Tamandua tetradactyla: one gene and its partner. The protein of the gene in region 1 purifies or fractionates together with the protein of each later gene. This does not show direct contact. Links are inferred from orthologs where the notes say so. Each region holds a gene or a part of one and is shown in the gene's direction. Other genes may lie near its edges.

Region 1 (8,777 bases):
TCTATGCCCAATTGAGCAGTGGAAGAAAACTGGAGTGAAATGGCAGGTAGAAAGGGGACTCGGCAGAACAACAGTCTAATAAATTCCCTCTATGTAGGTAGCAGTGGCAAGGATGCATGGGCTGCCAGGTCAGTGTACAACTGCAAAGTAAGGTGGTTTGAGCCCTCTAGAGTTTGCCACCTGGAGGGCTTATAGGGTACTCAGAACTGTTATGTCAGGGAAGTGTGCAATAGTGAAGCCTCTGTGAGATACTTCAAGTAACTTACAGTGCTGTCTCTTACCAAAGAGTCACATTCAGCTGTCAGGCAAACAGTCAAAAGAGAACTGTAACTATACCAATTAAATAAAGAAAATTTGCCTCATCTCTTATCTTTTCCTTTGCCATTCTCCTCAACCTTAGAGGATCTAGAAGTAGAAGGGGATATTTAGCTGGCCTTTGGACTAAACTGGATTGGACTTTTAACACTGAAGGGTCTAGAAAGTTAGGGGGTCTAAGATATCACTAAAGGCAATGGAAAATATTTGACAGGGTACCTAATAAACAAAATAACTAGACAACATTTCAAATTGGTAACCCAACAAGTTCAGATAACTCAATGACTCAATTACATAACATTTTCATTGTCCTTTCTTTATGGATATGTATTTCTTAATATTCATCTCACCTCAATTCTACCATAATTAAAATTTTAAATACAATGCATCTATTTAACATCTATTCCTTATTTTCAATATAGAACATAAATAGAAAACTATTCTGATTATATACTTAGGGTGAGAATTTTTCTTAGTTTTGCCTAAAATACAGTAATTTTTTAATATGAAATTTAAGATTTGATCAACATGAAAGGTCTTCAAGGTTAAGGAATATGTCTTATTCACCTTTACATCCCTACTGTACAGTTCAGTGCCTGGCATTGTGTCAGCAGTCAGTAAGTGTTTGTAACTAAGCCAAACTACTGTTTAATATTAAAAGAAACTCACGACATCTTGAAGGATTCAATTTTTCCTGCTCTCTCATCTTAATTTTCTTTTATGACCACTGACTGGAAAAAAAACTCTTGGAGGTTAGCCTTATTCAGACTTATTTCCTTTTGTACCTAAAATTAATTTAGCATTAACAGATCCTTAAGTGAAAGCACTACTCCACTGTTTAATAACATTCTATATTAAGTGATATAAAAATTAAATCTCTAAGTGGTCAAGAATACAAAAAATTAAATACTATTAGCGCCCATTACAAACTTGCCATAACTAAGTACCTGAAAGAAGCAGAAGGGGTTTAAAGATGGTACATACTCTTTTTTTTTAAATTGTAAAGAATAACAAACATATAAATATTGTTGACATAGAACATTCTATACATGGTATACGATCAATATTATCACATAGTTGTGTATTCATCACCATGATCATTTTTTTGAACATCGCATCTCTCCGGCAAAAGAAAGAAAAAAGAAAAAAGAAAAAACTCATACATACCATACCCCTTACCCCTTCCTTTCATTGACCACTAGTATTTCAATCTACTCAATTTATTTTAACCTTTGTTCCCTCTATTATTTATTTTTTATTCAGATTTTTCACTCATCTATCCATACTGTAAATAAAAGGAGCTTCAGACACAAGGTTTTCACAATCACACAGTTACACTGTAAAAGCTATATCATTATACAATCATCTTCAAGAAACATGGCTACTGGAACACAGCTCTACATTTTCAGGCACTTCTCTCTAGCCTCTCTAATACATGATGAACTAAAAAGGGGATATCTATATAATGCATAATGATAACCTCCAGGATAACCTCTCAACTCTGCTTGAAATTCTTAGCCACTGAGTTTATTTTGTCTCATTTCTCTCTTCTTCTTTTTGGTCGAGAAGGTTTTCTCAATCCCTTGATGCTGAGTCCCAGCTCATCCCAGGATTTCTGTCCCATGTTATCAGGGAGGATTGATCCCTGGGAGTCATGTTCCATGTAGAGGGGGAAGACTGAGTTCGTTTGCTGTGTGGGCTTAGAGAGAGAGGCCACATTCGAGCAGCAAAAGAGGTTCTCTGAGAGTGACTCTTAGGTCTAATTTTTTAATTTTTACTTTTTTTTTTTTCTGGGGTGCATGGTCTGGGAATCTAACCCGAGTTTCCCACATGGAAGGCAGGCATTCTAACTACTAAACTACCTATGTATCCTCTCTTAGGCCTAATTTTAAGTAGGTTTAGCCTATCCTTTGCAGGGATAAGTTTCATAGGGGCAAACAACAAGATCCAGGGCTCCGCCTATTGATTTGGTTGTTCCCACTGCTTGCGAGAATATCAGAAATTCTCCAAATAGGGAAGTTGAATATTTCCCTCTTTTCTCACCATTCCCCAAAAGGGAAAAGATGGTACACACTCTTAAAGAACTTATGCTTTAGTGGTAGTGAACTTATAAACACTGTGATTGGTTCAAGACCGTAAAAAGAGGGATAGAGGAGAGGGAACGCCTTCCAGGCTGGGAGAAGAATTCTAGAGTAGCAGTTCGAAGTTTGAGCTATGAAGCAACATTGCTTAGTTTTGAATTCTAATTGAACCTTGTTGGTGACTTTTAGTAAGTTACTTAACCTCTTCATGCCTGATACTTATGCCTTTATACTTAAAATGTATAATTTCATAGAGTTGTTCTGAGGATTAAATAAATTAATACAGTGCTTGATCCATAACTTTTTTTATTATAACTATGTACCGAAGACTTGTAGTTGGGTCTTTAGAGGGACTCAAAACAAACAAAAACAAAAAGATAAAATAAAAAATAAAAAGCTGGTGGGGGCAATTCTTGTATTAGAATAATGGGAGAAAGGTAAAATATAAATGATTAGGGTCAGATGGAGGCACTGATTGCTAAAACATATGGACTTTATTCTGCAGTAGAAAGATATAATGTGTTAAATAGGTAACACTACAAAAACGTTTTGGACAACCCTAAACTGGCTGTGTAGAATGGTTTGGGAATAGGAACAAAAGCCTGAAAGAATATAATAATGATAGCTAACTTTTATTAGATGTTTTTCTGTACCTTTCTAAGTGTGCAAGATGTATTAGGTATAAATATTATTATTGTGTTCCAGGTCAAATGCTAAGGACTTATATGGGATATCTTATTTAACTCTTAAAATAGCTCTGAAAGGGGGGTGCAAGGGAGCTCAGTGGTAGAATTCTCTCCTGTCATGACGGAGATGCGGTTGGATTTCCAGAGCCTTCAAATGCCAAAAAAACAAAAAACCCCCAGCCCTGAAGATTAATTGCCCAATCATTTCCTTAGCTTGAAGATACTGAGGGCTCAGAGAGATTAAAATGAACTACCTAAAATAGCAACCAATCGGCACAAATATTTATATTTAAGTTCTCTGACTCCAAATATATTTCAGATGGAAACTGATAAATGCAAGGATTTACACATGAAAAAGGACAAAAGATGACTTGTGTCTGATTGGATATAGGTTAAAAGGGTTACCACCAGATGCCTAAGATTTTAAGCCTTGGAGTCCACACAAGAAAAATGGCCTGTTTGTGCGTGTGATGTGTATGTACAGCTTATTAAATATTATTTGACTGTTCAATATTATTACTATTGTTTAATATTATTAATATTGTAATTATTAATATTGTTTAGTATATTATTAAGGACTGTTCAGAGCAGAAGGGAATTAATTTGGCTGGAGCACTCAGGAAATGTTTCATTAAAGAAGTCCTAATGATGGTAGACCTAAGTAAAATGAGGAAAGAGCTATGGTATCACCGGGGAGGAAAATAGTATTAAAGTAAAAACATACATGGGGATAGACAAAGGGTAATGAGAGGAATTTAGGTATATAATGTGAGGCCAGATCAGATTTCCTATGTTGTGTTAACTGTCATTGCCTATAACAGTACCTGGCTTTTAGAAACAATAATATTTAACGAATGTAGTTGAAAGAAAGATAAAGAAATGGTAGATTTTATTTGTTTTGACGTACTTAGAAGTAGGGAGCTATTTAAAGGCTTTTTTTTTTAAACAAGAGGAGAAACAACGAGACATCATTTTCCTTCTCCCTTCACTGCCCTCTCTACTTTTTCTTTTAGAAAAGTGTGTCAGCTAGCTCCAATTCTACCTACCTCAAATCCATAACAAAGTTTTAGGTGTTTATCTCTTGGTGACAAAATTTATCTCAAAATCCAAAGTATTAAGTAGATAAAAACTTGGATAATAAAACAAATGATTTGAATATCTAATCTCCGAAGGCTTTTTGTGTATATTTGGGGGACAATAAAATACACAGCTGCAGGATTATCAACTATATAACAACTGACTATAGAAGGTAGTCTTTTAGCTGTTCTGAAAAAAACGGGTAGGCTTCGAATACAATCACCTGTCGTTGGCCCATTAGTTTTAATACGGTCCTGCTTGCTGTAGGGAGGTGCTCCACGATGGCAAGAGGTCAGTGTGTCCAGCAGGCAAGGAGGGCGAGCTGGCGGGCTCAGTGGCCTTTTGAGGATGAGGATATTGTTAGTCGCTAAAGGCCTCTGCTAAGAATACCAGGATTCATGAATCCGTAATGCCCCTTCCCAAACTGCTACAGCCAATTCTGCAAACATCCCTAAACAAGAAAGTCTGTTAGGAGAAACCCGAATTAGCCGCAAAAACCCAGCACGTGGTGATTCAAAGATTCCATCTAGCACTGCTGCCTTGCCAGACTGCAAATCCCAGCAGTTACTCCTCCCACGGAACCCAATTAGGACGCTATAAGTTCCTGCAGCCAATGACACTCTGACCCAGTGCTACCCCGACTGAATTCTGGGATTTGTGGTTTTCACGTGGCATTATTACACCACGATGAAAGGCCACGCGTCAAATCGAAAGGAGAGCTCCCGCTAATAATTCTTTTGTTCTTATCGAGGCTAATATCTTAACTAGCACTAATCTCAAATCTTATGATCCTTAAAAATCGTAAACTTTATTTTCTTAATGCCATACACAAACAGTCTTCAAATTATTTTCAGAGTAGTGCTCGCCTCTCTCCTTTAACCGTTGCTTTAAAGTATCGCGAGAACATCCCAGTTTGCTCGTAGTCATGCCTCCAAAAAGGCCGTTCAAGCGAAGACTGACTTAGACATCAGCCAATAGGAGTGCCCTTTAACTAGCGTCTCTGAAGCGTGCGTGGAGGGGCCTACGTGAACCTTGACCCGGGCTTTCCGTAGCGTCCCGCGTCTGTCACTCCCGCCCCCGCTGGAAAGGAGGCGGGTTTTGGCCGCTTGCTCCACGGAGCGAATTCGCAGAGTGAGAGCCAGGCAGGCCTCAGTGGAAGTGTCTGGATCTCTGGAGCGGCCTTGCTGTATTTCCCCGCCTCTCATGGCCTCGTCCTCCCGCGAGCAGCGCCGTCGTTAGGTCGGCACCGTATCCTTTGCTTCCCTCGGGACAGGCCCACGCTTCGCCGGGGAGGGGGTAGCCTTCCTAGGCGCCTCCCTAGTCAGCGTCGGCGTCGCGTTGCGACCCTGGGAGCGGGAACCGCCGCGAGCGAAAGGAGGAGCCCCAGCAGCAGCAGCGGCGGCGGGCGGGATCGAGGCCGTCAACATGGCGAGCGCCTCGTACCATATTTCCAATTTGTTGGAGAAAATGACATCCAGCGACAAGGACTTCAGGTGAGTCCGAAATCCGTCTCTAAGCCCATCTCAAGGGCCCTCATTCGAGACCTTGGCCTTCTGCGCTGGTCTTGCCGCACCTTTTGGGGCATAACCTGTTTCCTCGTTTTCCCCTAAGTCGGCAGCCTACCCACTCACTGATCCTATCCGGCCCTTTCCTTCCGAATGCCCCCCGTCACTTCACTCCCCCACTTTTCCTTTAGGCCGTTGTCCGTTCTGGCCCTAGGTCCCTTCACTGTACGTCCTCAGTCGTCCCTACCGCATTTCCTGTCTCCGAGACGTAATTCTCACGTCCCAGGTAGCGTGAAGGGGTGAAGACACCTGCTATTGTTGGGGAAGGGGAGTGCTAGGCCTGGAGACTGGGCAGCCTGGCCTATCCGCCGGCCTGCCGGAGGCGCTAGGCCGATCAGCCCGCTTGGGCCCTTGCTATTGCCGGCTCGGGGACCCAGCAGCAGACTCCCTTCTCGGAGGTGTGAATGGACTGGCTAATTCAGCTTGAAAGATGAACTTTTTTAAGTTCTCCGAGGATTGAGTTACATACATATTCTTTAGATTATCTCTCTCGGAGAAGGTGTAAAGAGAGGGGAGGGGATCCAGGGTAGAGGAAACTTTGCTTGTAAGGTTTTCCCGCCAGCATCTCTGTCAGTTTCCCTTGTCAGGTTAAACCTCAGCCTGAACTTGGGTTTTCAGTAGAGTATATTTATATCCAATATCACTGCCGAATGGGTGTATTGCTGAACCCTAAACAGAAAAGTAAACCAAGCAAATGGGTCTTTTTGAAAAAAGAGGGGTTTTCTTATATGAGGTTGGTGAATATGAAATTTTATTATAGAGGTTCTGTTCCAGGGAACTAGAACTGTCGGTTCCAAATTCTTGATAAAATGCATGTTGAAGAATATTCCCGGTTACCTTGGTGTCTTTCTTGCCCTCCATTAATTGTTACATTCCTTTCTTTCCACCTCCCATCCGCTCATAAATTAGTTACTAAATAATTCAATCTAAAAGAGTTTTTTATTTTTTTAATCCTTTAAGTTTTGTTCTCACAGTACTTGGTTGTCGTAATTTGCGTGCATTTTAAAAGAAAGAAAAACTATCTCCAATTAAATATTATGGCTGAAGAGCATATACCTGAAACATGCTTAAATCTTATCCAAAGGAAGGAAATTTTCTGTTTTGTTCAAGTAGAACCGTGAAAAAAAGCAGTGATTGCGTTCCTAATTAAATTGATGAACTGGTGTAGTAAAGTGACCAAAGAAGTTCATACAGTTTGGTTCTGTGGCTTCAAAATCAAATATGGTTTTTAAAGAGTTTGGCTAACTGAAATTTTTTAAGTATTGTATTTGAAACTTGGGAAGACTCGTTTGCTAATACTAAATATTTTAGTGCTTTGACTATTTGGAAGTGACTTGATTATTTTGTAATATTAGATATGTGTAGCTCTACAGCAGAAGCCTAAAGGGAGAAAGATAAGTTTTTTAAAAAAATATTAAAATGCTGTTTGATTTCCTTCGGAGTTTTTCTTGCTCCCTATCTAAATAAACATTTGCACAGAACGTATATAACTAATTTATTTAACATATGTGGTGTGATTTTCCACCGTTTTCTGTCAGTTTGGCTCAGCCTGTAAAAGAGCTAAGTTTCATCCTGATTATAGTCAGTTTCTGTAGAAAGGTAGTCAAGTATTTGGTAACTTGCTTAGAAAGACTAAAGAAATTACATGATGGGGTGATACTGCATAGGTGATTATGTACTGGGAAGCTTCTTTAAATAACTTCTTAAACTTCAGGTAAAGATTTATACATGCTTGTTTTTATTTTATAAACTCTATGAAAAAATATTAATCCTCTGATACTAAGTTATATTATAGTCAGTGCTAAAATTAAAATGGTTTATCACCCAATCTGGGCTTTAATGATTCAAAACATTTCTTAGAAGATATGTTATTCATCTAAAATTATATCGACATATTTCGAAGAGTTGCTGAATATTGTAGAAAATGTTTTTAGGAAAGGTAAATAACTTCCAGTAATTTGGCATCATTATCATTTTTATTAACACTTTTTAAAAGACTTTAAAAAAAACTCTAGCCATTCATTTAACAGACAAATCATTGGAATTAAAGTGCTGTGTATATTAAACTACAGACATTTAAGGATAAACTAAAATGGTGAACATTTAAAGACAAGTATTTCTAGGATTTTCTGCATAATTTCAGTACAGGCATTTGTTTTAACATTTTTTTCATAAGTGACGTATTTATTTATTTGGTGTAGACATCACAATTTGTCACTATATGTGTTAAAATACTTTATGACAGAGGGTCTTGATGACCAGAGTAAACTAACATTATGGAATGCCTAACATTGTACAGAACGATCTTCTTTGTGCTAAGGGGAGGAAAAGAATAGTGCTTCCCAAAAGAAGAAAAAATGGTCCTCATGACAGAGAATTGGACCTACTCAACGCAGACATGAACTATCTGTGAGATCCTGGGCACATTACCTAATTTGGGATTAAATTGTCATTTCTGAAAAGATTGCACAATGGAATTACAGAAGATCTCTTATGTGTCTCCAATTTTAGGTCCCTATTTAGGTATCTACATAGTCCATTAAGAGAAAATGTAAAGAAATGGGCCCAAGGTTCAGAATTTTGACATTTCAGCATTCTTGAAGATTCCTTTTATAGGATTTAAATTATAGTCTTAGTTTATTGAAAAAATTGCACAGTATCCCTTTTCTTTCGTGCTTTATATTCTACATTCTTCAAAGGTGAGCTATTAGGATTTAGGAGAAATGGGGAAACAATAGAATGAGAAATGTCAAGGTTAGGGACTCCAAGAGAGGGCGTTTGTGTTTCCTTTATGCCAGGATAGTGCCTATCAGCTACTGTCCTTGGTCTTTTGAAAAATTACTATTACTTTTTAAATTATGTCAGTTCAGTAAACTTTTGGAAGAGAAATGAAGAAAAAAATTGTTTGAGAACATTATCTTAAAACACTGCTTCTCATCACTTCCTTCTCAAAAGACGTACTTCCGTCAGTGAACCCAGATTATTTTTTCCAGATAAGCTGTATATTATTTACTTTAAGTCTAAGAATTTCTGGTGATGCATGTTCCATAAAG
Region 2 (8,916 bases), on another chromosome or scaffold:
GTGGGGGTCAGGATAAGGAACTGAAATCACAGCGTTATTTTTCTGGGGGTAGGCCTAGTTCCATCTAGGGTAATAAAAGATACTGATAGAACCTACACTCTTAGTTCTAAGGTCACTGGCTATGACCACTAGACTAAAATGCTTTACCATGTTTCTGTGATGCTTAAAACCAAACAGGTAGAAAAATGGGGTTCTCACACATTTTTCCTTGAAAATAATTCTTTGGGGAATAATGTCTATTGTATCCAATGATCAGAGTTCAAAACAACCCAGAAAATTGCAATTTAAAGCTTTTGTCAATTTAGAAACCTCTAGAGAACTGAAGTACTCTTAATAATGCCAAAGCAATCAGGTTTTTTTGCTCTGGACAGCACAATAGGAAATGACTGTCTTGGTTTTAGGCACTTAAAGTTTCCCACATTTGTACAAGACAGGAAAATATAATACAGAGAATGAATGCAGGAGTTCTGGGATGGTCAAGCCTGGGTTGGAATCCTGACTTCACCCCAAAGACATGTTTTTAACCTTCAGTTTCAGTTTCTTAAAAAAATGTAAACTCTTCTTCAAAAAGTTATTCTAAGGATTATTCATGAGATAATTCACTTAGCACTGTGAGTTAAAGGCAAAAGTTACTAGAATGGGAGGAAATAAAGGAGCAACAATAAAGCCTTTTATCTATCCAGTGCTTTGTCTGCAGAAGAGGGAAAAGCAAAGTGTTGTCTGTTGGCCAATTTACTGCTCTGTGTTAGTAATGGATTTTCCTAATGCCCTTTCCCTCTGATCATTAATAATCCTTGTACAGTAAAGGGCTATTGTTCTTTAGTATGAGTAAATAGCCCTATTGCAGGCACTGTTTTATCTTCAGACTACAGCTCATGCTTCTTACTGGAAATACAATGCAGGTGCCAACACCAAAAGCATCATCACACTTCCCTATTTTCTTTCCTTTATCTCTTACTCCTCCCTTATTCTGTGGTGTGCTTCCCCCCCAGATCTGATACACTCATTACTTTTTAGCATACAACCTGTATCCTATATTGCGTCATCTTTATCCAAAGCGAACAATGTTCCCGTTAAACGGCATCTCACATATCCCTGTTTTCTTTACCCCCTCTTCCCATCCCTATCAATTAACATGTGCAACACACACACACACACCATAGGCTTGTTTCCTGTCTTGGATTCAATTATTGGTTCCTAGAATATAAAAAGGGAAGTGTTGCCACACAGTATTTTGCAAATCTCAGAATATGCTGTGTGGACTTAATCATACCACAGCTATTCTCTGAAACAGCATCTTTTTACACAGAAAGTGACAAGAATAGGGTGTGTCAGAGACAGGGGGCAGTGAGGAAAGGGTAGATTGTATTTTTATTTCACTTAAAAGAAAAGAAATTAGGTTAGGCTCTGTGAAAAGGGAAATCTTCAGAATACAGGGAAAAACAAAATATTTTCATGTCTGACAGACTGCTAAAATAACTATTCCAAACAAGAGCATATGAGGGAAGTACACCCATTCTAAATATACCATGTCAGTAACTGAAGCAGACGCAAGATTACACTTGGGTAGGGGAAACTCCAATAAAGCTACTGTAACCAGGAAAGAACAGCTATTTCTTCCCTCAGGGATAGAAATACTGAATGGAAACCAAGATTCGGTCTCTCAATTTTAAAAAGTAATGGAAATATCTGTTTCCTTATCAGTATATTTTAAAAGACAAAGGTCAGGGAAGGGTCAGTGGATGGTGAGAAGTAGAAGACAGCCTAAGAGGTTTATGGGAGGGGCTGGAAAAAAAGAGGAAATGGAGGCCAACCCCACTCCTTGGTTCATAACTACTAAGCTGGGATCTCTGACCCTCCACAGGATCTAGGAAAGTCAGAGAGGACAAAAAATGAATATCCCCCCTCACCCCCATCCTTCTCTTTAATCATTAACAGCCCTGGAACTAAGGGGCTCAGACAAGAGTGCACCTTTGCTGTGAACAAAAATCATCTGTGCCTGAACTAATAGGACTGGAGGTTTTGCCTGGGTCCTGTATAGGTGACAAATCAAACATTGCTTCTATTCTCCAGGGACTTAGTCTAGTGAAGAGCTTCAGTGCCTCTGCAGGTGAGAATAGTTGCTTAATAATTATTTGATAGGTAGAAGGTACTTGGAAGCTGTTATGAAGGCAAGGACCCCTGCACAGAGAACCGTTATTTATCAAATACTTACATTGAGGGTCAAGTGCTAGAAAGTCACTCCAGCAGCTTGTAGAGTTAGAACTGAAGCCCTTTTGACATTTCATATTCCAATTCCTTAAAATTGCACAGAATGACTAGCACCCAGGACTTAGAGGTCCTCTGGCACAGTTTTGGCCAAAAGAACTTACGACGGTAGCTATTGGGTACTTGTGGTTAGTGCATCTAAAGAACTGAATTTTAAATTTTATTTAATTGTTAAATTTAAATAGTCACAGGCTGCTGGGGGCTACATATCAGACAACACAGCTCTAGACCAAGGGATACAATTCAAAATACCCATTGAGTCTCTGGACCAGATAAGTCCTCAAATGCAGAAGGGCCAGCCTCTTCAGAACATCAACACATCAACTAGTTCCGTCCCCCTATTCCATATTATTGGACAGTTCCTTCCAACCTGAAAAAGTTAGAATGGGCATAGCTCAAATACCCCTAAAGAGCTGGAGAAAGATCAAAGGTGATGGTGGAGTTATACAGAGAAGTTAGGGTTTAACAAATGGGTATGAATCATTATACTGATATTTCTTTTATTCTCCAATATATTAAAGCAGCTAGAAGTAAAAACCTAAAATTGTGGAATGGTAACCCATATCAAACTCTGAAATCTGATCTACAACTAATTGTTGCAATGTACTTTGACATTTATTGCTTTTTTTGTATATGCTGTTTATCACAATAAAGAAAAAAAAGTTTATTGTGATGATAAATGCAGTTATATGATACTGTGAACCACTTATTGTACACTTTGGATGATTACATGGTATGTGAATATATAATATGTATCAATTTTAAAAAGAGCTATTTAAAAAAATGACCCCAGCGGTTTTTTGACTGACTACATAAATCTCTTTTCTTTGAAAAATAAAAAAAAATCACCCATAGGGCCAGTTGGTAAGTTACTGCAAACTCAAGAATGAGTCACGTGCAAGTGGGGAAGTAGTTCATTTGATGTGTAGGAGCCTCATGCCTGTTGCTGCCAGATTGATTTTTCAAAAGAGGCTGAAAATCCGGACTTTGATGTCCAATTTTTTAAAGTTGGCAAGTAAATTACAAAGAATTGTAATCACTTTGTGGGCTGAACAATGTTTGTGGGCAGAACCTGTCTTGCGAGTCTGCAATCTCTAACATAGGCCAACTCCATCAGCTCAAAGAATGGTAAGGCCATTCTTTTAGCTGGTCTTCTGATAGACACCCTTTCCCATTATCTCATGAGATTGGCTATATCTAGATTGTGATGGTGGTGATAGTGGCAGCAGTGGCAGGGACAAAAACCCCTTTATCAGAAGCTGTCAAATTCCATGGCTGATAATTTATGAATGCAGAGTTCTTAACTGTTTTGTTCCTACCAAGCTACAGCCACATGATGTACAAGGCTCTGTATCCTTAGGGGCCAGCAGGACACAAAGACAGTTCCTGTTCTCAAAGAGCTTAGGGTCCATGGGGGAGACAGACATATAAACAAATAATATGTAAAGTCAGGCTTGCTATAATGGAGGCAATTACCTGTGCAGAAGTCCAAAAGCACTGACACCTGGGAGAGGAAGAGAGGACAGAGACTTGAGGCAGACCTTAGAGGATGAGTAGAATCTGGTCAGTCAGGGGATGTTTCACTGATTAGAAGGATGGGTCCCATTATTCCAGGATTTGAAGGGGTCTTCCTCTTGTACTTGAGGCCTTGTCTGCATCAAAGTCTCCTTTTCTGGCTTCTTTTACTCCGTGTAACCTCTAAATGCTGAGAATCCAGGAAATTTAGCCTGGGCTTTCCTCTTTTCTTTGCCTCTTTCTAGATGATCTATACTGACAACCCCCACATTTGTAATCTCCAACTATGACTTTTCCCCTAATTTGTATATCTAATTTCTTAACATTTTCTCTTTGATGGCTAGTGGACTTATCAAACTGTGATACATGAATCCAAAGATTGACTCCCTGGCATGTCACTGCTGTAGTTGTACTCCAGTAAAACCTAATATATTCAAAAGAGAACTTGTAATATTCTTTTCCAAACTGTTTTCTTTCTGGTCTTCCCCAATAGGAATCATTCTTGATGTTTCCTTCTCCCATACACCTTAAGTCCAATTTGGCAGCAAATCCTGCAAGCTTTACCTCCAAAACATATTCTCAATATAATGCTATTTCTACATGACCAGTATCACCTCTCCCTAGGCCCACTGCAACCGCCTCCCAACAGGTCTGACTGTTACCACCCTTCTCTATCCAGCAGCCGGAGTGATGCTTTAAAGATTTAAACCTGGTCTCTCCCCTTACCGTGGCCTAAAAAGCCTGGCTACTTCATCACAGACCACAATGCCCCTTGCTTTCTGCTTCAACCACAAAACCTTCCCGACTCCAATTCCTTCCTTAGAACTTTTCTGCTGGCTCGAGTCTCCATGTAGAGAGCTTTTCTCCTGTCTTTCCACTGCTCTCATTCTGGGCAAAAGCGTCGCCTGCTCTGAACAACCTTAACTGATTTAGAGTAGGCCTTTACCCTTTTGTCATTTCACTCGGTATTACTGTTTTGGGGGACATTTCTCACTTGCTGATATCTTGTTTATTGATTTACATGTTAACTCTCTTACTCGAATGGAAAGTCATGGATCAAGGCTTTTGTCTTGTTCTTAGGTTTGTGCTGGAGGAAACTATGAAGCTGGTGCTCACTTGTCCTAGAATGTTTCTGCTCCTCTACGGGGCCTCGTTTAGGTCAACTTTCCCTAGCCAGACACCTCCTGCTCCCAGCACGCTGGGAAGGGAATCGCCCCTACATCTGTCATTTATATTCAGTAATCTAAAAGATTCAGAAGTTTCAGATGAGCCCCAAACCAGGCCTCCCCTTCCTGGCCCACTGAGGCAGTTTCCCAAGGCCAGAGGCGATGACACCCAGCCGCCCCCGCGAGGCTGGGGTCACACAAGCGAGTCTCCTAGCAACGCCGCGTCCCCACCCCCAACCCATCCCTAACCCCGGGAAGCCACCTCCTTCCCCCAGTGTCCCGCTCCTGGAGTCAGCATCTCCATCCCCTACACTCACTCTGCGTCAGTCCTGCCTTTCCCCCACCCACAGAAGTGCCAAAGCCCCCGGCGGGCTGCGAAGAGGCCGCGCCGAGAGCCCAGTAGAGCACGGTGGACAGAGCTCTGGCACGTCCGGTAGGCCAAGTCGGACCAAACCAGTTGGCGGACCTCTGTGGGAGCATACTCCCACCTCAGGATTAGTTTCAATCCTCCGTGAACTTCTAACTTTACCCCACCCTCAGACTTATACTCAACAATATAGCCAACCTTATCCTCTCCCTATTTTTCTCTTGACCTCTTTCGCCATCCTTTTCCCTTCCCCCCCTTCCAGCTAAAAGAGTGGTCCAGTCCAGCTCCTCCTAGCCCTCTCTCCTCGCGGCTAGGTCTTTACCCTTACTTGGCGACGGCTTCGTACGTCGCTGCGTACGTCATGACGCAACCTTCCACCCTCCCCGCCCCTCTCCTCTCTATTCTCCCTCCTGGAACCGGCAGCCGGTGGGGTTACCGGAAGTGATGATGCAGGAGGCGATGGAGGGGGCGGGGCCTCAGGGCGGCCGCCGCCGGTGGGCCGCAGATGAAGAGGAGGCGGTGGCAGTGTGGAAGAAGAGGCGGCGGCGGTGGGGGTAGGGAGCCTGGGAACGCAAGCGGGTATGGTAGGTGGCTTGGGCCCGCCGGGCCGCCGTCGTTTCCAGAAAGGGTTTGACTGGAGGAACCTCTGGAGCAGCTGTGAGTTTGAGGGGAGTGAGGAAAAGGGGGGAGCGTTGAGAACTGAAGGGGCGGGGGTTGGGTACCATCGAGAAGGGGGTGGTAGTGGTGGAAGGGGAGGAGTGGAAATCAGTGCCTGGTCCGGACTGGTCTCTCTGGAAGAAGAGGCTGTGAGGGGAGCCTGTGGCGTGTCAGCCGCAGAGCTCAGAAAACTTACCTACTGTCCCTATCTCCCTACCGCCAGTACCCCTCAACCCAGTGCTTGGGAATCCGGGGCCGGAGCTGCCCCGAAGGAGGTGCAGACTGGTCCTGTGCCCCGGGTAAGTCCTGAGAGATGGTGGGTGAGTCTCCCGCTCCCTCCGCCCTCATTTTCCTCCCCACCCCCATCCTTCTCTTTAATCATTAACAGCCCTGGAATTAAGGGGCTCAGACCTGAAGACCTGTCTGTACACCTTTGCTATGAACGATAACCATCTGTGCCTGAGGTTAATAGCACTGGAGGTTTTGCCTGTATCCTGTTTAGGAAGTGGACAGGGTGACAAATATTTTTTCCACTCCTCTCACCCCTTCTCCTCCCCTTCGTTTCCACTTTAATTCACTGTGGCTGGGTGGCAATCGTATTTGTTGTTGTTGTTGTTGTTTAACTGGCACTTAATGTCTTGGTTACTTCTTTTAAATTTGGTGTTCAGCCCCTACCCCAGCTCTTAACTGCAAGCTTTGTTATACTTCAGTTAATAGTTTTCACATTGGGAGTACCTCTCAATGCCTGGTAGGTCCCGATTATAACGAGCATTTTCTTCTATGAATACTGGAATTCCAAAGCCCTGCAAGGATTCCTAAATGGTATTATAGTCCAGGAATCAAGGTCTCTTGCCTTGAATAGTTTGTGTGGGAAATTTACATGTGATCAATTCTTTACAAAATGATTTGATGTTGGTCTAATTCTGGTTTTCTGTGTTTCTCTCCACCCACACTTGATTATGCACTTCAGAGAATAGAAAAACCCCATATTACTTTTTTGTTTCCACAATTGGACAGTAGCACTTTTATCTCTCCATAAGTGTGTCTGGCACACGAGTGTCCAGTGATACTTGACTTTGCTGCTTCCCATCATATTTAGCTGATTTTTGTGTATACGGTGGTCTTAAATGAGAAGGTATGATTTGTTTAGTTTTGTTTTAAAGAAGACTAAAATTAGTGAAAAGTTGTTTTCAGAAAACAAAGAATGATTGGAGAGAAGGTCTCTTTGTTGATATTGTTGGTTTAAAAAATATCACCAAGTAACTCCTCTATCCTGTCATACATATTTCATAGTGAAGCATAATTCCTGTTTTGGCGTTATTTTCTTTGGAAATCCTCTGTGTAGTCTGGAACTGTGCTTTCTGAAGAACTTTAAAAAAAGTGCTCGAATTTTAGGGGTCTTTTGATTAGCACGTGTCCATAAATTCTCCTTCTGTATAACTGACTTTGATGTGTGTATGGCTAGAAGTATTATTTTAGTGGGATTCTGATGCTGTGAACCCTCTCCCCCCCCCCCAACTTATCAGTGATCACAGGCCTTGACAGAACAGAATGTTTAGTGCCTGGTATTGTGCAAAAACAATGTGGTTGTTAGTTGTTAGAAAAGAATGACGAGTTGAACTGAACTAATTGATTGGTAACCATGTTTGCCATTGAATAAAAAGGCCAATGTTCATTCATTCAACAACAAACATTTATTGAATGAATACTGAGTGCTAGCCTATTTATGCACTGGGCATACACAGCAAAAGTTCCTTGCTCTCATGGAACTTATATGGGATGGGAGGGATAGGGCTGGACAGACAATAAATAAATAAATAAATCAGATTTTGATAAGTGCTGAATGAAATAAAAGTGATGTGATAGAAAGTGTCTGAAAAGGATGTAGTCAAGGAAGACCTTTCCTAGGAGGTGATATCTAAGTAAGCTTTAAATTTAAAGGAGCCAGCCGTGCATGGATAAGGGGAAGAGCCTTCCAGGTTGAGGGAACAGCTAGTGCAAAAACTGGCTGGAATGAGGTTGTCATAATCCAGAGACTGGGGAAAGGGGGTGTGAGTGAGATGGGGGATGGGGAGATGAGGAAGGAGGTGGCAGTAATAGTCAAAGCTTGGTGAGCAAAGGGAAAGAATGAAAAGAGACAAGGTCTGAGAGGTGAGGATGGGGCTCAGAATAGCTTGGCAAAATAAAGAGCAAGCAGGGGAAGGAAGTAGAAAATTGATGGTCCTTTTTGATTAATTCTATCAGTTTTCCTAGAGTCTTACTGCTTACTTTTTTTGCAGGTACTATTATTAGTCTATTGTAATAAAAAGTCACCCTGCTGAGAGTGGGAGAGGGAAAGGCATTGGTCACCTGGTTTTCTTCTGGCAGATAAACCTATTTTTGAAGACCTATGTGTTCAAAATTCAGTGGCATGTTCGATTGAGGGCATACCTTTTTTCATTAAGGGATTATGTATTATATGCTGTTATTTTAAATCGCATAGTAAATATTCTGAATTTGTTGTAGTATAGGAATCCTCCTTTTCTTTCAGTTCTGTGTGAATTTAGGGTTGAAGGATTGGGCAGGTGATAATAATTTGCCCTTCTTGGTCTACAAAGATGACCATCAGGATCTAAGTTTGAAGTTTTTTTTTGTAGGAAGGCAGTTCTTGCATAACAGCTCACTCTGGTCTGGTCCTTCTGATGACATACAGTATTCTGAGGAGGTGTATGTTGATGCTAGCAGTTTACTCAGGATTACATTAGGTAAATGGCCATTATAGGGCTAAATTCCACCACGTTGGCATCTTTGGGCTGTGCTGTAACCAAGGGATGTAACTTATTTTTGCCTTTAGTTGTGGCCATTCATCTTAAATTGTCCTCAGCTTTTCAGCTTCACCTTAACCAGATTGTCCACTTAGCAGAGGCCCAATCAAGATTTCTTATTATTTTGGCTCTCTTGGGC

Evidence for each region.
Region 2: the proteins of CAND1 (region 1) and DCUN1D3 purify together in Homo sapiens (affinity purification with western blotting; 3 studies listed by BioGRID, with this or other methods). This does not show direct contact. The link is inferred for Tamandua tetradactyla from reciprocal best matches to the Homo sapiens genes CAND1 and DCUN1D3.

The regions. Positions count from the first base shown.
Region 1 is NC_135333.1:135,242,719-135,251,495, forward strand, and holds the start of CAND1 (cullin-associated NEDD8-dissociated protein 1), read left to right. Parts: upstream 1-4,847; 5' UTR 4,848-5,584; coding exon 5,585-5,652; intron 5,653-8,777. UniProt on the Homo sapiens protein: Key assembly factor of SCF (SKP1-CUL1-F-box protein) E3 ubiquitin ligase complexes that promotes the exchange of the substrate-recognition F-box subunit in SCF complexes, thereby playing a key role in the cellular repertoire of SCF complexes.
Region 2 is NC_135349.1:36,581,690-36,590,605, forward strand, and holds the start of DCUN1D3 (DCN1-like protein 3), read left to right. Parts: upstream 1-5,165; 5' UTR 5,166-5,266; coding exon of another isoform or gene 5,267-5,429; exon of another isoform or gene 5,430-5,483; intron 5,484-5,514; exon of another isoform or gene 5,515-5,973; intron 5,974-6,196; 5' UTR 6,197-6,272; intron 6,273-8,916. Other genes in the region: LYRM1 (LYR motif-containing protein 1), read right to left, coding at 3,745-3,809, 5,267-5,429. UniProt on the Homo sapiens protein: Contributes to the neddylation of all cullins by transferring NEDD8 from N-terminally acetylated NEDD8-conjugating E2s enzyme to different cullin C-terminal domain-RBX complexes and may play a role in the cell cycle progression by regulating the SCF ubiquitin E3 ligase complex, after UV damage.